3 linked regions of the Mus musculus genome follow. The protein of the gene in region 2 purifies or fractionates together with the protein of the main gene of each other region. This does not show direct contact. Links are inferred from orthologs where the notes say so. Each region holds a gene or a part of one and is shown on either strand. Other genes may lie near its edges.

Region 1 (3,500 bases), on a different chromosome or scaffold from region 2:
AGCCACCCACTACCCATCACAGGCAAGCAAGGAGCTTGTGGGGAACTGTCTCCACAGATCCTAGATTGCTGTCTTGCCAGGTGCGCTTCATTTTGCCCCAACCTGTCCAGTACAAACATGACACAGCTCATGAAACCACTTCATCTAGCTTCCTGTCTCCAGTCTTTTACTCAGGAAAGAAAAATACTGCATCACATCGAAGCAGGCACCTCTGCTGGTTATATTGATTTGTTTACCAAGTAACTACCTAATTAACTGGCAAACATGTTGCATTTGGCTAGCGCAGGTTCCTTGGAGGGGCAGTGGGAATATAACGAGGGCATGTTTTCTTCTATCTATTCTACTGATTTTTTTTTACAAAAAAAAAAGAAAAGAAAAAAGAAAAAGAAAAGAAAACTAAGGTATACTTTGAAACATGAAGTTGGCTTTCCTTGGCAAAAAATCACATGAATAAGTGGCTTGCAGATGCCTACTGTACAGATGTTTTGTGCAATCTGATCTCCAGGCAATGAGACAACCCGGCGTGGTGTTCACTGCATGATTTTATCTGTTGTACAAAACTACAAAATCCAAAGTAAAAACTGATCATGCTGTGCGTGCTTCCGCGCCAGTGGGGGGCATCACATTTTACCCCCTCTGTTGCAGCACAGTTTGCTGCTCGGAGAAAGCTCCTTTTTCCTCAAAGACTTTTTCCAAGACTCACTCACACGGTTTCTCTCATTATATCCAGTCTCAAAATAATCGTAAAATTGGCCTTTGCACTCAAAATCAAGGTCGTTCCCCACAGGTTCTTGGCCGAGGGCATCACCATCTCTGCTGGTTTCGTGACTTACTTTCCCATCATTGTTGAATTTGACCTTTTCCTGGACACCAAGCGACCTAATGTTAGTGACAAAGATTTCGCTGGCGGGTATTTGGCTCTTGTAAATAGGTGCACTGCCTATGTCAAAGTCCACATGGTGGGAGCAACTAGGCAAAGGCAGAGGGGAAGAGGAGGAGGAGGAGGAGGAGGAAGAGGGAGAGGGAGAGGGAGAGGAGGATGAGGATGGGGAGGATGAAGAAGAGGTGGATGGGGAGGAAGAGGAAGAGGCAGCCGAGGCCACAGCGGCGGCCGAGGTGCTTCCAACACTTGTATTGACAGAGAGGGGTAGGTTCAGGCAGTGACCACCACACTCCTGATAAAAACAGCAAGTGTGGATCTTTTCCCACTCCTCTTTGGCCACCCGGGGCCGTTTCCGGTAAGGACAGTCTTGAGCCAGGAACCACTCTTGGGCGGGGGTGCCACCGAGGGAGCAGGCAGGGAGGCACCAGCTGTTCTGCATGACAATCTCCCCGTGGATCCTCTTCATCAGGTTGTTGATCAGAACAGACCTTCGCAGGTACACTTCTGGGTCATCGATGAACCTGAGCTTCTCCAAGGACATGTAAAGGATGTGTGCTCGCTCCTCGAAAATGGAGATGGTCTGAAAACCAGAGGCAGGAGAACCCTTATGAAACAAAGCTTGTGAAAAGAGTATCACTCGTTTAGAGGCTGGCCCCATTGCGGTGGATACCCCCAAACCCTCCTGTTTCCTAACTTACTAGTGTGGACCTGAGGAGGGCCCAGCCAGAAGGCTCAGTCACAGTGAAGGAGAAGCTTAGACACAGTCAACCAGAGCTGTCAGAGCTCAGGCCAGTAATTGTTGTGGGGGTCAGAGGTCAGGCCAGCAATTGTTGTGGAGGTCAGAGGTCAGGCCAGCAATTGTTGTAGGGTTAAGAGCTAGGTAATCTGAAGCAGCACTGAGAGGATTCAGCTAGACCTCGCTGTCAGTGACAAGGGATGCTCTGGGTGAAATATATCAAGCTATAGTTCACATGTCTTTGTGCAGAGGCACATGCATGCATTTCACAGCAGTATGTTTTAAAATTCACCCATTTTTCAAAGAGTCTTACTACTATTAATTGATTTTTTTGAGACATGGTCTCTCTATTATGCATCCTTGGCTGACCTGGAACTCATTATGTAGACCAAGCTAGCCTTAAATTCAGAGAGATCTGCCTGCCTCTGTCACCTGGATGGAATTAAGGTCTGTGCCATCCGTAACAGTTGAAAATCATTTTTATGTGTATGAGTGTTTGTCAGCACGTTTGTCTGTGCACTATGTGAGTGCCTGATCCCCATCCGTGAGAGGCAAGAAGAGGACACTGGACTCTGTGGAATTTGAGTTACATTCAGTTGTGAGCTGCCAAATGGGTGCTGGCAAATAGAACTCAGGTCCTCTGCAAAAGCAGCCAGTGCTCTGAACTGCTGAACCATCTCTCCAGCCCCAGCGCATGTCTTTTACAGATTTGAGATACAGGTTCTAGTGGGCATGGCAGAGTGTGGATGAGGCCACCAAGGAACACTGCTGGCTTTGCATACCTGTCGTCTGCCTTATTAAGTAAGAGGGAAAGTACAGCCAATGAAGCTCAAACTAAGCACCTGGAAACGGAGGGCTTTGGGGCAGAAAATAGAGAAGCAGAGAGAAACTGGGGGTGGGGGATGGGGGGGGTCAGTCCTGGGCTGTGTGAGGCTGTCACTGGGTGAAGGATGCTGCAAAACCATTAAAAATTGTTATTATCGATAACTTGTTTTTGTAAAAATAAAATAAAAACGAGACATGGCTTTGCTATGTAGCCTATGCGGCCCTGGACCTCACAACAGAGCCCAGACTGAACTTGCAGCAATTCCACCTGCCCTCCTTTCAAGTGCTGGGATCACAGGATGTGACATGAAACCTGGCACATCCCAGTAGCAACTGGAAAACTCACGGAGCCACAACACAGAAGCTAAAGAAATAAACATGGGTGCCTTTTTACAAACAGGCAGAAGCAACATCTGAAGGCTGGGGAAGGGTGGGAGAGGGGAGACAGAATGAATGGGTTGCATAGGGCCTCAGCACCTGGGCCACTGGGCTCTGGCTGCTCCTCCTTGGTAAGGTCAGTGGAGGTCTGGAGGGAAGGCACTGTATGGAAGAAGAACTAATGCTCTCATGCCCAGCTCTTCACCTCATGGGCTTTCCCCCTACGGTGTTATTTCTTTACGTTTGTCAAAAGAAAAATAGCTATCTTTGTTTCCTTCCTTGGGAATGAATTCTGAATTTTGACAAACTTGACATATGCTAGGATATATCAGGAAGAGCATGACTGCTTTCTGTGCATGCATCCAAGGGACGATTCATTGACCTCAGGAGGTCAGGAAAACCCCAATTAGCATAAGCAGTGGCCTCGCAGTCAAGTGCATCTCCACCACATGATACGACAGAGCAGCCCTATCCCTCAACCTGGGAATATTAAACCACAGGCAAAAGGATGTGTTTCCTTACGTAATATTATATCTGGGGAGAGAATCTCTTTCTGGTTCTTTCTTCAAGGAGTGTGAGAAGGAACACAGCCTCTGTCCTAGTTAGGGTTTCTAGTGCTGTGAGGAAGCACCACAGCCAAAAAGCAAGCTGGGGAGGGAAAGAGTTTGTTAGGCTTAC
Region 2 (3,943 bases):
GGCTCTTTCCTTACTGTCTGACTCAACGAAATGGATACTCCATGAAATGCACAGACCGAGACTATTAGAGAACTTCTTGCTCTGTTCCATTTCCCACTCTTCCCATGCCTTCCCTAAGACCATATACAGGGGTTTAATAGATTGATTTGTATATACCAGAAAACATTTAAAGCTCTTTGATTAAAAACCCTTGCTTCATTGTTAAATATTCCACCCAGAATTGGAATGTATAAAAATGCCACTGAATAGGTACACAGGTAGCATCCAGGACCTTGGAAACAATAAAGGATGCCATCTTAAACTTCTTCCTCCTGCAAGTAACGTTCTTATACACCTGGCTTCAATGTAGTCACCTTCTTGGTTTGTTAGGTTTCCCCTTCTTGCATAATGTAACAGAAGAAAACACCAGGGGGAACCTTCTTTCTTTGTAGTCACAAATACAAAGCTTCCTAGCCACCACAAAGCTCACAGATTCAAGACTGACCTCTCTGGTGGATGGCATGACTGGATGTCATTGCTACCTGGTCATGCTCAGTCATAAAGCACAAAGACTTATAATCACACCACGGCTGTGAAAGATTTTTAAGAATCAGCAAGAATGCTATTCAACATGGGACAGAGATGGGTGGTCCATCTTAAAAAGAAATCATCTCCAAGGTTTCGAGCTTACAGTGTGTCTGAGTACTACAGACACGTTGGGCTTGCTGGTTCCCAGACATGGTGATGAATGGCGAAAGTATTTTCAACAGCACTTGGAATTCTTCTGTCTAAAATTTCCAGAGATCTTTGTAGAAGGTGCTACCGTTGCCCTCCCCTCCGTATATGAGTTTTTCCATTTCCCTCAGAGCTCGCACCCTTACTTGATCCAGTGCATTCTTCTGATGTGACCCAATCTTACTGAAATTTTAGCATTCTAGAAGGGTCACAGGCTAATATGCCTTGCTACATTTTCCCTAAGCACTTCTGCACGCATTTTCTCACATGGACATTGCCACGGGGATTCCAATACTTCATATTAGTTGTCAAAAATCAACACCCACAGGTAGAAAATGAAGCTCGAATGCAAAAGTTTTGTCATTCAAATAAAACTAAACCGTCTTTACTCAGTTCGTACACAAAGAGCAAGATGCAGTCCACCTGCTGACTTTCCCTGCCTGCCTGCCTGCCTGCCTGCCCAGCATTTAGGCTGATGTCAGAGCGAGCTGGCTGAAAGGAGAGAGAGCCAGCAAGCCAGAGAGTGAGCGAACACAATTTCACCTCTTGGCAAAGCTCAGCTTGCTGAACCCTCCTGCTTTCTGCTGGCTGTTGATTCAGCAGAAAGTACTGCTGCAGAATTCATAATGGTGATTTTTAAAGGCCCCACGGACCCAGATCCCGCTGCTCGCCCCACGTGTCAGCCTCATTCGTCCGCCGCGAATCATGATTCCCCAGCTACCTTTTTAAAAATTTCTGGCTAATGTTTTTTCAAGGGGAGAGGGCTCCCCTACTTTTTGCTGAAAGGCCTTTAGGGGAGGGGGGGGTTGATTGTCTGAGCAGGTAAACCAGTGAGCCGGAGAAATGAATGGGCAAGAAATGAAGCTGTACTCTTGCTGCAGTCACCGAGAGCCTCAGCATCACTGTACCCAGAGAGGGGTGGACCATGGTCTTCCTGGGCCCCTCCCTTCTCATCTCAGTCCAAGATTCTTGTAAGCATCTTGGGACAAGAAGGTGTCATCTGCTTCCTTGGGTTCATCTGTCTGCCTGGGAGCCGCACCCTGAAAAGCCTCATCCCTAAAGGCCATTTTAACTCCCGGGGGTACCTGGTCCACCTGCTGCTGAACATGGGGCTCTAGTCACGGAGCCCAGCCCGGATGGATTTGCCTTACCCCTAACCCCTCTGGCGGCTTGAGCGAGAGCCTAGCCTGAGCCCCCGCCCAGTGCTCCAGCCCCAGAGCCTGGAGTAGTCTCTGCCACTAGGCGCCTGGCCACTGATGAAGCAGGGCTATCCGCAACTTGCACCCGACCCCAGCGGCGGAATGCGGCCGAGCTGGCATTACCTTCGGTTGCATAGCTGTGGTCGCGCAGGAAACTGTTGTTGATTTTGCGGGTATCAATGTCCTCCTCCATTGACAGCAGGCTTACTTGCGTGGGAACCAGAAGCCGGCAGACAAGTATCCATGATCCCACCCCGCAGCCAGTCTCACAGGAGAGGGGGGCAGGGGAGCCAGTGGGACTGCACCATGGTCCGAGCCTGAGGAGGAGACGGGGAGGCGGAGAGAGAAGAAAATAAAAACCCGGCAATGGAGCTGTCACCTCCTCCACTCGGTTCTCCGCGGATGCGGTGGCTCCTCCCGCACGGTGCGCTCACTTCAGCTCCAATTCCCAACGAGGATGCTGCGTCTGCCTCCTCTGCCTCCGGGTACCAGGAAGCTCTGTGTCCCCCACGAGGGGTCTAGTCCTGCCTGACCGCTCAGGAGACGTTCCCAAGTAGGGCTGGGGAGATGCCCAACAGGTTCCCCTTGGCAGGCAGCGGCTCCAAAATGCAAAAAATAAGAGCTTTCCTCCCCCTGGGAGAGCGGGCAGCCGCGACAAAATGGTGCCTTTCCGGACCCACACTGCAGTGGCGAGATGGCAGGGGCAGGATTCAGGCTTGCCTTGCTGAGATGAGGGTGCTGGTCCCACGAGAGGGCGGCTCCCGCAGGCGGGGGCTAGGAAAGCTGGCGGGGAGCTAGGCTGGGCGCTGCGGCCAGCGCCAGCGCTCTCACCCTCACACCCACAGGGGCGCACTCGCAGCTGCTGCTGGTGCTGCTGCTCCTGCTGCAGGAGGCTGGAGGCGGCTGGTGCATTAAAGGCGAGGCTCCTCCCAACCGCGTCAGCAGCCCCGGGACTCTTCCCCAGCAGCAGTGGGAGTCCAGGCAGAGGCTGTGGCTGCTCTCTGCTGCAGAGGGGTGCAAGCGGCAGCCAAGGACACCTGGACAACGAATGGTAGATTGCTGGTTCACTGAAAAAACAAGGCGTGGATGAGCTGTTCCAATCTTTCCCCTCTGGTGCCATACAGCCAAGGGCAGGGGCTGGCTTGTGCACGGAGGCCCTTAGCTCACTGCTTTGCTCCTTACACCTGCCTGCACTTCATTCAGGACAGTGTTTAGAAGTAGGTTCCTTTGGGTAGAAGTCAGCACCTAGGTCTCCTTTGTTAACTGGATATGATGTAGACTGCCCCTTGAGCTGAAGTTAAAGGGTGAGCTTTATTCACAGCTTAGCCCCCCGGCTTGGACTAGAAAGCAGAGCAGGGGCCAGAACTTCGAGACTGCCATCCTGTCCGATTTCTTTCCAAGCAGGCTAACATCTAACTGTGAGGAACTGGTGTTCAGAACCCGCACCGCCGGGCAGTGGTGGCGCATGCCTTTAATCCGAGCACTTGGGAGGCAGAGGCAGGCAGATGGCCTCTAGTCTACAGAGTGAGTTCCAGGACAGCCAGGGTTACACAGAGAAACCCTGTCTAGAGAGAGAGAGAGAGAGAGAGAGAGAGAGAGAGAGAGAGAGAGAGAAGAAGAAGAAGAAGAAGAAGAAGAAGAAGAAGAAGAAGAAGAAGAAGAAGAATTAGAAGAAGAAGAAAGAAAGAAAGAAAGAAAGAAAGAAAGAAAGAAAGAAAGAAAGAAAGAAAGAAAGAAGGGAAGGAAGGAAGGAAGGAAGAAAGGAAGGAAGGAAGAAACGAAACGCGCCGGTGTCCACAGGCAGAGCACAGTCTATGCCCGCAGACAGGGCGAGTTATGGATGAATATATTTATTCAGCGAGAAGGAGCCCACTCTCCATAGCCCTTTGCGTTTTGTTTTGAACAGACACAGGAAGCGTCTCTGCTCAGGTGTTCAGAATACCTTCCGTGTGCCCTCAGCATGTTAAGTCCATGAATGCAGAAGAGAGGCTGGGACCAAAGTGAACCACTATGATCCAGACGGACTATAA
Region 3 (3,952 bases), on a different chromosome or scaffold from region 2:
TTTTTAAACAGGATTTCTGATTTTGGTTGGAAAAATCTATGGAGAGAGAACATGGTGGTGCCTGGCTGGTTCTATCTTCATAAAGACTTCCTACAAAGCACTGGTGTAGGTGTGTGCGGAGACTTTTCACAGGGCCCTAACCAAATCTCCTGGTAGGCAGGCTTGGCCTGCAGAGCTACATATGGATTCACCACCCAAAGTGACGGCACAGGAAATGGGGAGCTCCACACACACTCACAGGTGCTATCTCAGTTATGCGGTCCAAATCTGAGAACTCTGCTCTGCCAGTGCCTGAAAACCTGAACTGCATCACAGGACATTGCCCTGAGCAGTCTCTGGATACTGCTGTGTCTCCTGCTGCCCTCCTGCTGGATCCCAAGTGCACGCTCTTGTGATAGCAGGAGTGACATCTGCAGGAAGGTCTCCTCAGAGAAAGCAAAGAACAAGCCACAAGGCAGTGGGCTTTCCTCCATTCCGATTACTAAGACTAGAGAACCAAGTATTTCTACACCTTTATTTCTCCGTGTACAGTAGGGAAAGGAATAAAATAAAAATGGCACAATTGACACACAAAAAACATGGTTGGGGTTGGGAAAGGGTGGTGGTAAGTAGATGGGGGAGGGGTCCCCATTACAGCAGCAAAAGCCAGTGACCTAGGATGCTCCCATCTCTCCCAATATGGGCAGGAACAACCAGCCCTTCTTTTCAGGCTGCTGTCCTGCAACAACTTGTACTGCTCCAGCCCCTTGGGAGGTGGACAGAGAAGTCTTCCCAGGCTACAGAGGAGGAACCGAACCGTGCTGGGGGAGGAGCCTGGGGTCAGACCATGCACAGGGAGTGACAGTCATTTGCCCCCACCACCTCCCTAAGGGAGGTAACTTTGTGGGGGTTGGAGGGTGGACACCAGAGGCCGGCAATGCTTCTTCTTCCAGCATCAGGCAAGAGAGAGAACTGGGGAAACAAGAACAATACGCCTCAGAACCACACCACATTCTCCAACCACATTTCTGAGTGCTGCCCCATTCCCCGGAGCCCTCACCCTTCTGCCAGAGGCTCTACACTCTCAGGCCCTTACCAGTCAGAGCCTCCTGGGCAAAGTACTTGACATCCACATCCTGGTCCTGGGTCAGCTTCTCCAGGATGGGCTTGACTTCACTCTGCAGGGTGCTGGAAAGTGAAGGGAAAAGAAGATAGTGAGATAGTCTTGCCTTGGATGGATGGATGTGTGTGTGTGTGTGTGTGTGTGTGTTCGGGGGTGGGTGGGGTGGAGGAGTTGTGCCCACAGGTAGAAAGAGGGCTCCGGTGAAGGTAAGTATCAAGACAGGAACACACCAAATCATAAGGCAGAGTATAGAACATGAACACACAAAGCATACACATGGAAAATTCCTGATCTCTAGGCTTGTAATCAAATAGTTAAGCAGGGAAAGCTCTTGGGTTAGCACAGGACATGAGCAAGTCTGACAAAGTAGAGCCCACAGGCCTTGAAGCTGAGCAAAAAGATTCCTTTAGTGACTGAATCCATGTTCACTGAGGTATTGTATACTTAGTATGAATACAAAAATATATCACTCTAGATTCTTGCTCAGATAAGCCAAGACTACAAGACAAGGCCAGTAAGTGGCAAGATGATCAAAGGCTTCTTGGTTTTAAGGGGCCTAGAAGTGGCATATACTCTTTATGTAAGGAGACATGGAGGAATATGCCTATCCTGTAAGGAAGGAAGACAGACCTTGGAGAGAAAGGCTGTGGAGCAACTATGAGACACACAGGCATCAAATGTTGGCAGACCGCTCCTCTATCCTCCATATAACCACTGTCTTCATTTCTACCTCCTAGAGTTATGCTTTTGTTGTTATTTGCTTGCTTGCTTTGTTACTTTTTGGGAAGCAGGTCTTTCTATATAACTTTATGTTATCTCAAGCTACATATCCCATCCTGGTCTACAACTCGACCCTCAAGCATCAACCACCAGAGTGTGCTGGGAATTCAGCAGCTGCCTACCACTGTGCCTAGCATTTTGACTTTTTCCCTCGAATATTCTTTCTGCCCCCCAACCCCCCCCACCCCGCACTCTTTGCATTCCTCTTCCCTGCTGTGTGTGTGTGTGTGTGTGTTTGTGTGTGTGCGCCCAGGCACATGTGCATGTGAATGGACACCATCTGTATGTCTTCAGAAGCCCGAGATGGGAACTAGAATTAAAAGCATGAGTGATCTTAAGTACACATGATGTGAGATAAGTCCAGGCCCTCTCAAGAGAAGCTAGTGCTCTTAACCCCTGAACCATTATCTCTCCAGACCCATATTAACTATTTTAACTCATACTCTGTACCAGCATTTGGATTATTCTTTCTTATGATTATAATATATAAGCCCACCACATTTTCAAGGGGTTGAGGGGGTAGCAACACTGAGTACTGTCTAAAAGCAAGGGCTGGATTAGGGTCTACATCTAGCTAGCTGGATCCTTCCAGTTAAAATGCTCATCCTATCTGCACTACAATTCCCATAGCACGATGTTCAGCCGAGTATTTCAGCTGTAACCTGTGCTATGTTAACAGCGTACACTGCAGAGCACCTAGTCGATGTCCTCACTGAGCATGTGAAGACAGTACTTTTAAACTGAAACAAAAGCACAAGTTACCTCATTCTCATATTTTCACATATATTAATTTTGACTACCTTCCTTCCTCCCCTCTCTCAACCCTACTTGTAGCTCTCATCTTCCCATACTCCCACTTGAATGTCATATGCCATACTTTCCTCTATGTCTTCTTCCCATGTGTATCATGGGAATTCTTTATCTTCCTATATATAGGATACTAGAGGAGTTCTTTATATAGAAACATCTCCACACTGTCAGGTTAGCCTTCTGATACACAGCTTTTCATTTTCTTGAGGGCCATCTTATCAATCACTTCTTTTGGCATCTTAGCAGGTTTATGTCCAACTCAAGACATGAAGACATTCTATATTTTCTACATGTTTTATTCATCATGCTGGTTCTAGCTCAAAAACTAATTTGTTTATGTAGAGGCAGAAATTCTGTTTGGGTTTATGTGGGCAACCAACTGATCCAGTCAGTTTTAGAAGACAGACACTTAGCCATCAAACTACAATGGTACCAGAGTGCTCTAGAAAATATTCTAGTGAGACATGAATATCCTGTCCCTGCCCCATGCTGTTTCTAAATTATGTGTCAGGTAGACTTGAGGTGCATAGTTTTGTTCTTTAGGATGTATGGGCTAGCCAAGCACTCTGCATTCCCAGGCCAGTTCCTACTAAAACTCTGCTGATATATAATGGCCTCAAATATAAGTACAGGGAATGAAGACTATATGTTTACCAAAGCTTCCTGTGGCAGTGCTTAATAGTTTCCCTAGAAATGTTAAGTATATTTCATTACATGTATTTTTTTTTTCTTCTTGTTTTTTGAGACAAGGTTTCTCTCTATAGCTCTGGCTGTCCTGGAACTCATTCTGTAGACCAGGCTGGCCTCGAACTCAGAAATCCACCTGCCTCTGCCTTTCTTTTTTCATTGTACTCTAGAGAAATGAATTCTTATTCTAAAACAGAGAAGATAGACTTTGTGGAGAGGAAAGAACAGGCATGGGTCACAACGCATAAAGAAATCAGACCCTGAGTTCTGTCTTTAAATATCTAAGATGTTTAGAACCCCCAGACCTCACCTGTTATCAAGAATGGGTCCTATCTTCTGGAGTGACTTGGCCACATTGAAGCGGACATTGGCAACTGGGTCCCCTGCCATACGAAGAACTGTGGGCAGCATGTGCTTGGTGGTGATATCCTGTCCACAGACCTCAGACAACACCTGAAAACCAGTGAATGGCAGAAGTACAGTTATGCAAGGCTTACTGCTAAGTCCCCATATATCTTCTTCTGAATATGCTGCCTGAGTCATCATCAGGACCCAGGAGCAACATGGAAGGGT

What was found. The genes of interacting proteins can lie anywhere in the genome.
Region 1: the proteins of Ppp2r2b (region 2) and Sertad4 purify together in Homo sapiens (co-immunoprecipitation; 3 studies listed by BioGRID and IntAct, with this or other methods). This does not show direct contact. The link is inferred for Mus musculus from reciprocal best matches to the Homo sapiens genes PPP2R2B and SERTAD4.
Region 3: the proteins of Ppp2r2b (region 2) and Ppp2r1a purify together in Homo sapiens (co-immunoprecipitation; 9 studies listed by BioGRID and IntAct, with this or other methods). This does not show direct contact. The link is inferred for Mus musculus from reciprocal best matches to the Homo sapiens genes PPP2R2B and PPP2R1A.

The regions. Positions count from the first base shown.
Region 1 is NC_000067.6:192,845,753-192,849,252, forward strand, and holds part of Sertad4 (SERTA domain-containing protein 4), read right to left. Parts: intron 1,464-3,500; coding exon 621-1,463; 3' UTR 1-620.
Region 2 is NC_000084.6:42,896,709-42,900,651, forward strand, and holds the start of Ppp2r2b (serine/threonine-protein phosphatase 2A 55 kDa regulatory subunit B beta isoform), read right to left. Parts: upstream 2,801-3,943; 5' UTR 2,107-2,800; coding exon 2,037-2,106; intron 1-2,036. UniProt on the Homo sapiens protein: The B regulatory subunit might modulate substrate selectivity and catalytic activity, and might also direct the localization of the catalytic enzyme to a particular subcellular compartment.
Region 3 is NC_000083.6:20,962,454-20,966,405, reverse strand, and holds the end of Ppp2r1a (serine/threonine-protein phosphatase 2A 65 kDa regulatory subunit A alpha isoform), read right to left. Parts: intron 3,833-3,952; coding exon 3,690-3,832; intron 1,168-3,689; coding exon 1,076-1,167; intron 952-1,075; coding exon 935-951; 3' UTR 501-934; downstream 1-500. UniProt on the Homo sapiens protein: The PR65 subunit of protein phosphatase 2A serves as a scaffolding molecule to coordinate the assembly of the catalytic subunit and a variable regulatory B subunit.